Linked DNA regions of Nothobranchius furzeri. Each later gene encodes a partner of the first gene's protein in a complex. Links are inferred from orthologs where the notes say so. Each region holds a gene or a part of one and is shown in the gene's direction. Other genes may lie near its edges. The genes, in order: cdk4 and cdkn1a.

Evidence for each region.
Region 2: the proteins of cdk4 (region 1) and cdkn1a are in contact, whole or in part, in a crystal structure (PDB 6P8H), measured with the Homo sapiens proteins. The link is inferred for Nothobranchius furzeri from reciprocal best matches to the Homo sapiens genes CDK4 and CDKN1A. Residues at the interface, in NP_000066.1 of Homo sapiens: Gly18, Thr19, Val20, Tyr21, Lys22, Ala23, Asp25, Val32, Leu34, Ser36, Met75, Asp76, Cys78, Ala79, Thr80, Lys88, Thr90, Val92; in NP_000380.1 of Homo sapiens: Met38, Cys41, Ile42, Ala45, Arg48, Trp49, Phe51, Phe53, Val54, Glu56, Asp62, Phe63, Ala64, Trp65, Glu66, Arg67.

Annotation. Positions count from the first base shown.
Region 1 is NC_091743.1:49,241,515-49,245,891, forward strand, and holds the end of cdk4 (cyclin-dependent kinase 4), read left to right. Parts: intron 1-1,779; coding exon 1,780-1,889; intron 1,890-2,437; coding exon 2,438-2,488; intron 2,489-2,566; coding exon 2,567-2,702; intron 2,703-2,981; coding exon 2,982-3,083; 3' UTR 3,084-3,626; downstream 3,627-4,377.
Region 2 is NC_091743.1:46,701,099-46,704,433, reverse strand, and holds cdkn1a (cyclin-dependent kinase inhibitor 1), read left to right. Parts: upstream 1-1,358; 5' UTR 1,359-1,489; coding exon 1,490-1,492; intron 1,493-1,626; coding exon 1,627-2,077; intron 2,078-2,159; coding exon 2,160-2,215; 3' UTR 2,216-2,526; downstream 2,527-3,335. UniProt on the Homo sapiens protein: Plays an important role in controlling cell cycle progression and DNA damage-induced G2 arrest. Involved in p53/TP53 mediated inhibition of cellular proliferation in response to DNA damage.

The DNA of each region.
Region 1 (4,377 bases):
AAACCAGCCACTTGTGAAGAGGGAGCTAAGCCAGAAAGCAAAGCTCTAAATTAGGGGTGCACAATATATCGGTATCGGCCATTTTTTAACATATCTGTATCGGTCCGATAAATAAAACTAGGTCGATATTAACTGGTATTTTTTTCCATCTTGTTTCCATTTGTTTATCAGTTTCAGAGGGTGAGGGGGTGCTGTGTATTTTAGTCAAGTGACAGTGATTGCAATCATCTCAGTAGAGTAAGTGTGTGTGTGTGTGTGTGTGTGTGTGTACATAATAATGTAAATTCAGCTTTAATAATATTCAGTCTTTACAAAATCTGCTGATTTTAGAAGCATTAATGTCAGTATATCGATATCGGCCCTAACAGTGATATTAATATCGGTATCGGCCCAAAAATGTCACATCAGTGCATCTCTACTCTCAGTTTACCTGCCGGTCTTGATCCCAGTCCTCACCTGTAGTCATGAGCTTTGGGTAATGACAGAAAAAACAAGATGGCGAATACAGGGCGTACACTGTGCGACTTTTTCGTTGGTTGTTCGTCATCTGACACTGTTCACAGGGCACAGCCACGAGTCATGTTCTCACGCTCTGACCGCTCGCACTGTTGTGGTAGTAACACGCCGGTCCAAAGAATGTGTTTTAAGAGTTTTTTTCTCAACGGGTCGAACCTGTGAATCCAGAAACCTGAAAGAGAGGAGACTGTTGTGCCGTCATTGATGTCTGTTGTCCTTGAGGCCTGCCGTAGTTGTGGGAGGACACGCAGGGGTTTATGGGGAATAGAAGTAGAGGAAGAATGAAAGGCATGTAGGAACTAAACCGAGGTTTTGGGATCTGCTTTTACTTGACATGAATACAAAAGGTGCTTTCTTAACATTAACATGTGCAGAGAAAACTGTAAGTAAAAGGTGGAAACGTGTGTGGAGATGAATATGGCTGGCCAGACATTTTGGCGCGTGCGCTGTGTGAGCGGTTCTGGTACATTTGGGTCGCGGTGCAGCTTCAGCGGTGTCATACCCTCACAAGGGATCAGCAGAAATTTAAATATGCTTGATTCTCGTGCGATTGGGAGCTGGTCGGGGGGTCTTAACCGCCTCTCGTAACCCCTTCTATACTACACGACACAAAACTCGACCTGACCTCAAAGACTGTTGCATGGGTGGAAAATTGGCTCAAAATGAGCAGAAAATCACACAGCAGGCCTGGCTTTACAGAGTTTTAGGGATTATAGATTATAACAAAAGTAGCAGCATGAAACAAAAGAACAATCAAATGTCTAGTATAACATCTATTCTGGTTTATGTAGGAAGGCTCATCAGGAAGGTGTTTAACACAGTGGGCTGTTTCTACTCAGGATCTATTTAGTTTTTCACTTTCAACCAACACATCCTGCTGAAATGTGCTCACTTCTGCATCTTTACGTTTCTGGCCTGCTAGCATCATTTTTTAGTGAATTTTAACCGGTTGCTTAGTAATACTGTCACAGAGCACTATCAACTACATCTTACATTGTTGTCAGTGAACGCTGCTTTTTCTCGTAAGGGTTTGATGAATGACTGTAAACAGCCACATCTGCAGCCCAGTGAGGCACCGGCGTGCTCTCCTCAGGAGTTCAGCGTTCAGATTCATCAGCTGACGTTTACCAGGCTCACATCGAAAGCAAAACTCTGCTTCATGCGTACACACCGTGTGTTTAGCTCGAGTATGTGAAGGTTGGCTTAGATGAAGCGAAGCTTGTGCTGTTACTAATGCCAGTCTTGCGTTTGGCTCTCTTGGAGGTGGTGACGCTGTGGTACCGACCTCCTGAAGTTCTGCTGCAGTCCACGTACGCCACTCCGGTGGATATATGGAGCACCGGCTGCATCTTTGCTGAGATGTTCAGACGCAAGTGAGTCAACATAACGTTCAGATCACCGGTATCTGATCTTCTGTCAACTCGGGTTTAGCGGTTTGCTACGACTGGGATGTTTCCAGCTGATAGATGAGCGGTCTGGAAATCCGATAGAATGATTATCTGTGAAACCCGTTTGTTTTTAAAGACTTAGTTCTAGTTTATAACCCAACTTCTGATGATGATTTGCCTTTTAGACTAAATTTAGAATTTAAAAAAAAAGGGAAGGAAAAAAGCTCTGCATCCTCTTCCAAACAAGCCCGGAGATCAACGTTTTCTAGGATGTCAGCATTTGATTTCAGGCTGATGATTTTCAGGGACATAGTTTTACAGATTTTGACAGCTGGAGTTTAGTCTGGGAGCAGCCTGGGTGGACGTACCTAGAAGATATGAAGTTTATGTGTGATGTGTGCAGAGTGGCTCCATCTAGTGGTGGAAAACAGCATGACATCAGCAGCCAACAGGGTTGAAGAACTGTATTTGTTTTAGATGATTAAAATAAAAATTACGTAACTAATTTTACATGTATCGTTTTGTTTTTTAAGACCTTTATTCTGTGGAGAATCAGAAATGGACCAGCTTGGGAAAATATTTGAGTGAGTAACAAAGACTTAGCGGAACATCAGCAACCAGAACGACCAAGCAAATCATTCATTTCACTCATCTGCTTTCAGAGTTATCGGCTTGCCGCAGGAGGAGGAGTGGCCGACCGGCGTCACCGTGTCGAGGAAAAACTTTCCCGCTGTCAAAGCTCGCCCGATCACCGACTTTGTCCCAGAGATAAACGAGCAGGGGGCCAAACTGTTGATGGTAAGACTTGAGTTAACAACTGAAGGCCGATTCTTTTCTCACCTGCCAACGCCCCGGACCCCCGGGCTTTCCTGAACTAAAGCAGAATCGTACAGATGCATGACTTTTCAGCACATTATTAAAGAAATATGAAAATATAATGTAGAAAAGAAATCACACAGAAATATTTTCCTGCAGAAAGTGTCACAGCTAACCATGTGTGGGGGGAATGTTGTCAACCAAATGACTGTAAAAAAAAAAAATAAAATCTATTTTTTGCCTGTTCTCTTTCCTCCACAGCAAATGCTGACCTTTGACCCTTTGAAGCGAATATCAGCGCTGAACGCTCTAGAACATCTGTATTTCCAGGATGAGGAGACGTCGCCTCAGACAACCAGTTGAAATCATGCAGTAGAAAAAGAACCAACAGGATCCAGCGCCCTCTGAGTACAGATTATGTTTAGGGAATATTTCTTAGTTGATCCTGCTTCAGAAATCAGGATGAAACTCTGTGAGGATGAATTTGATGAGCACTGCCATGTTTTTGAGCTTGTACAAGTCACATGTAAAGATGTTATAGCAGCAGTTAAAGGGCAGCACTAGTGATTTTGATGTTTAGTCTTGGAGTCAACATGCAGAAATGTCTCGTTTAAATGCTGCTTTTGTTGCCGTACATTCTCCAGATAGGTTAGTGATGTTTGTCTTACACAGCTGTAACCCGTGTTGAAGCTGCTCGCTGTCTATAATGTGAGTGGCTGTATCTGAATCATGAACATTTTAAATGAAGTTTCAAACAGTTACAGATAAACGCACAAAAGCTTAAAAAATTGGAATTTCTTTTGAGTTATTGCACAAAAGTTTTTTGTGGAATGAATTTCACACCTTCAAATGTCACTAAACACCACACACTGAAATCTGAAATGAATAAAAGAAAGTATTCAATAATTCTGGGTCAGTTTGTTGTGTTTTACAGATGACTGTCTATAAAAATAAAACATCCTCTATCTGAACAGATGAAATATACTTTGTTCTCTAACCCATGTAAGTTTGTATTTGGAGCCACAATCAGAATTAAAGTGTAAAAACACTACAGGCAAATCCAACTTTGATGTAATGTCCTTAAAACAAGTCAAAATGAGGTTCAGTAGTGTGTGTGTGGCCTCCACGTGGTGAGGTGGTGGATGGTCTGAGGGATCTCCTCTCAGATCTGGACTAAAGCATCCTCCACTGCCTGGGCAGTCCGTGTATGATGATGTCCCACATGTGCTCAATTGGATTCAGGTTTGGCGAACAGGCAGGCCAGTCCATAGCATCATGCAGGAACTGCTGACACACTCCAGCCACATGAGGTCTAGCGTTGTCTTATATTAGAAGGAACCCAGGGCCAGCCGCATCTGCATGTTATAGCATGTTGAGGGCCGTGCCACCCCCCACCATTGCTGCCAAATCGGTCCTGCTGGAAGATGTTGCAGGCAGCAGGAGCACGGTGTTGGGCTAAAACACAACCCCAGCTTGTGGATGTCAGGCCCTCATTCCACCCTCTTGGAGTCTGTTTCTGACCGTTTGAGCACACACACGTGGCAAGGTGGAGAATTGTGGGCTGGTTAGAGCTGTAGCAACTCTAACCAGTCAGCCAAAGGAACAACTCCTTGGTCAAGAAGCCAGGGCGCATGATCAATCGGGTCACAGTGACGGG
Region 2 (3,335 bases), about 2.5 Mb from region 1:
CTAAGCATCTGAGTAAGATTTATGATTTCACAACCTTTAAAACTCAACACACACACACACACACATATATATATACACTTTTGTAGCTCATTAATAATTGTATTCTAAACATTTGAAGAACAAAAACGTTTTTACAGGACTAATGTGTTCCTAGAGGTGTGAAAAGTTGACATAAATGGATCTTTGCGATCTCATTTTTGCACATCCAGGAAATCCATAAACTCTTGTTTGGTGGTTTTAGTTTTTTTTACATGTCTGTGTGTGTGTGTGTGTGTGTGTGTGTGTGTGTGTGTGTGAGAGAGAGAGAGAGAGAGAGAGAGAGTGGGTGAGTCCAAACTGTGACATCCCAGTTTGACACGAGTTCCAGACTCACGTGGAGCAGAGTTGTAGCTGAACTGGGCTGGGTCCAACTCAGTCATGCATGACTAGCTCTCCCGCCAAAGCTTGAGTCACTCCTCCCAGAACCACCCTGCCCAGTAAAAGAAACGCCCTCCCCCTTCCTCTGTGGGACCAGGGCAGCGCAGGGATCCAGCAGGGATCCTTCAAACCCTTTTATTAACCTAATGATCCACCCACAATTGGGGAGCTTTATTCTGAGCCCTGTGCTGTGGGTGGGAGCGTTGAACACTGCATACATAGTCTTAGTGGTCATTAGATGTGTCCAACAAACCCATTTTTTAGTAAACTCTGATACAGACTGTAGTCAACTGACTTTACTACGTAGATAATTTTGATCAAAATGCAAAGGGCCCTTCTTTTTCTCATGAACAAACCAAACTGAACTCCATGATAGGAGCCAGATCAAGCTAAAATAGAGACATATTTCACTCTCATATTTTATGAATCAGAAAAAAGGGTTTGTGCTTGTGTTTGTATGAAAATAAAAATCAGAATCATATCAGATTATAACAGATGACTTGTTTCATTGACACATTTTTATTTATAACACTAATCAGTATTTTACTGAAACGCATCTTCACGTCAAATTGAAGCAGATTTTTCCAGATTCCGTTTGCAGATAACTGGAACAGCTTCTGTAAAATAAGCTCGTGTCCTCTTAATCACTGATAACGTATTTTATTCATCTCCCAATCTCATCTGCTGCACCGTAACTGGACGGGCAGGGACTGTTTTCCTTGAATGCTTCCTTCCTTCTTGGATGGTCTGAATGACCTGTTTCCCAGGTCAGAGTCAGAAAACAGTCACATGTTTCCCTCAGTTTCAACGTAAACTGAAGATGAATTATTTCTCTGGTGTTTGCCTCCGAGCTGTCTGTAGTCGGAGTGACAGTGCCACCTTGTGGTTTATCTCTCTTACACCAAACACCACAACAGCAGAGGACTTGCCCTTACATGCCTGTGAGAGATTATGCCCAGACATGTACCAGAGAGGAGGGCTAGTGACTCACTGCTGCTGCTGCACTGCATTATAAAAGCCCGTCAGCTCACAGAAGCAGTCTAGTTCACTGAGGAGCTGTTAGGCTAGAACCATGGTGAGTCTGACTAAACTTTGTTTAAATCACTGGTTTGAAAATATTAAAAACATTTAGTTTGTGTACTTTTTAGACTGTGGACAAAATAGATTGTGGCTTTTGAAACTAATCAGTTTTCCTGTTTTTACCTACAGTGCAGAGGGATGGCTACACTTCACAAGCGAGCCCTCAGTACTCTAAGAAGGAACGGTCCCCCTCGGCGGAGCCTGTTTGGCCCAGTGGACCGAGAACAGCTCCAGATGGAGTACCGGACTGCCCTGCGTAAAGATCTGGAGGAGGCTTCCCAACGCTGGGGGTTCGACTTCTTCTCCGACAAACCTCTGGAGAGCGGTGATTTCCAGTGGGAGATTGTCCCAGGTACCAGGGTGCCACTGCCCTACAGATCCAGCGTCATCTGTGCAGGACATGCAGAGGGTCAAAGGTCAGCAGGTGCAACCAAAAGAGGAAGGGTGGTGGTACCAGAGAGGGAGAAAGAGAACTTCCCCCAAACTCTAGAGAAATGTTCTCTGAGTCTGGAGAACATGGAGACAACATCAGAGACGGAAGACAAATCAGGAATGAAGAGGAAACAGACAAACATTACAGGTATGTTTAGATATTTTTTATATCAAATTAGAAACACTCATCTTTTCTCATAAGCTAAGTATCCTCTTCTTTAACCCAACAGATTTCTATCAGGCTAAAAGAAGAGTTGTCTGGCTGCCGAGGAAATCCGGGGAGTGATATTTCCTTTGAAGGTGCCAAAACTCCCAAGAGAACCAGACAAAGAACCAGCACCTCCTTCAGGAATCAGTTGTTCCACACCGAGCAGCGGGAGTGCTGAATCATCCAACAAAAAAAAAACAAAAAAAAGAAAAAAAAAACCCAGAAGGCACCAGGCTAATTAAGATGCTGCATGTGTGAGGGGTCTGGTGTTTTCTGTCCACGCTGCAGTTAAGAAGGTGACATTTGAGCAGAGAAGATTAACAGTAATCTCTGGAATCAGTGGATTTATACTCATTTGGACTGAGAGCTCGCCAAATTGCTGACTGACATTTGTTACGGCGCGTCACACAGCTCTTAACCCTCTCGGTCTCGTTTTGATAAAAGGACGAACAACTAAGTCCTTCAGGGGTGCTTCTGAGTTAAAAAATGCTCATGAGATACTTGTGTGGAGTAACCAGGTAGGTAGGTTTTAACTGTTGCAGATCTGCGATGCCTGCCTCCAGAGGGTTAAAACACAATCACATCTCAGTTTGGTGGGACTTCTGCCTGTTTGAGGATGAAAAGCAGACGTGCGAACAAATATCAGGACTCAGATTAATACGTTTCTGTGGCAAAGCCGCAGGAAAGCTAAAAACAGGAGAGCTTTGTCTATTTTGTTCAAATCTATAATTGTTTTTCTACGTCTTTTTATAGGAGTTTTTTTTTTAAGTGCATTATATTTTACATCGGGGGTTCCCAATCCTGGCCCTGGAGGGCTGGTATCCAGCAGGTTTTGTGGTTTTTCTGCTCCAACAGACTTGATTCAGTGGTTGAAACGCCTGTGCAGCAGCTCATCAGGCTCTGCAGAAGCCTGTTAATGAGCTGCTGATTGAAATCAGGTGTGTTGAAACAGAATTCAAACTAAAACATGCAGGATACCGGCCCTCCAGGACCAGGATTGGGGACCTCTGCTTTACGTAGTCATCGGAAAACGGCTTATGGAGTTGTGATATATCCTTAAACATGTGGTTGCATTGCTTAGACTATAATCAGCAGAAGTGCCAACTTTTTCCATCTCATCCACTGATTTTTAAAACCGTTTAAACCTCCACAACTGCCCTGCTTAGACTCAGATAATGTAGGTTATATCTGTAGCATC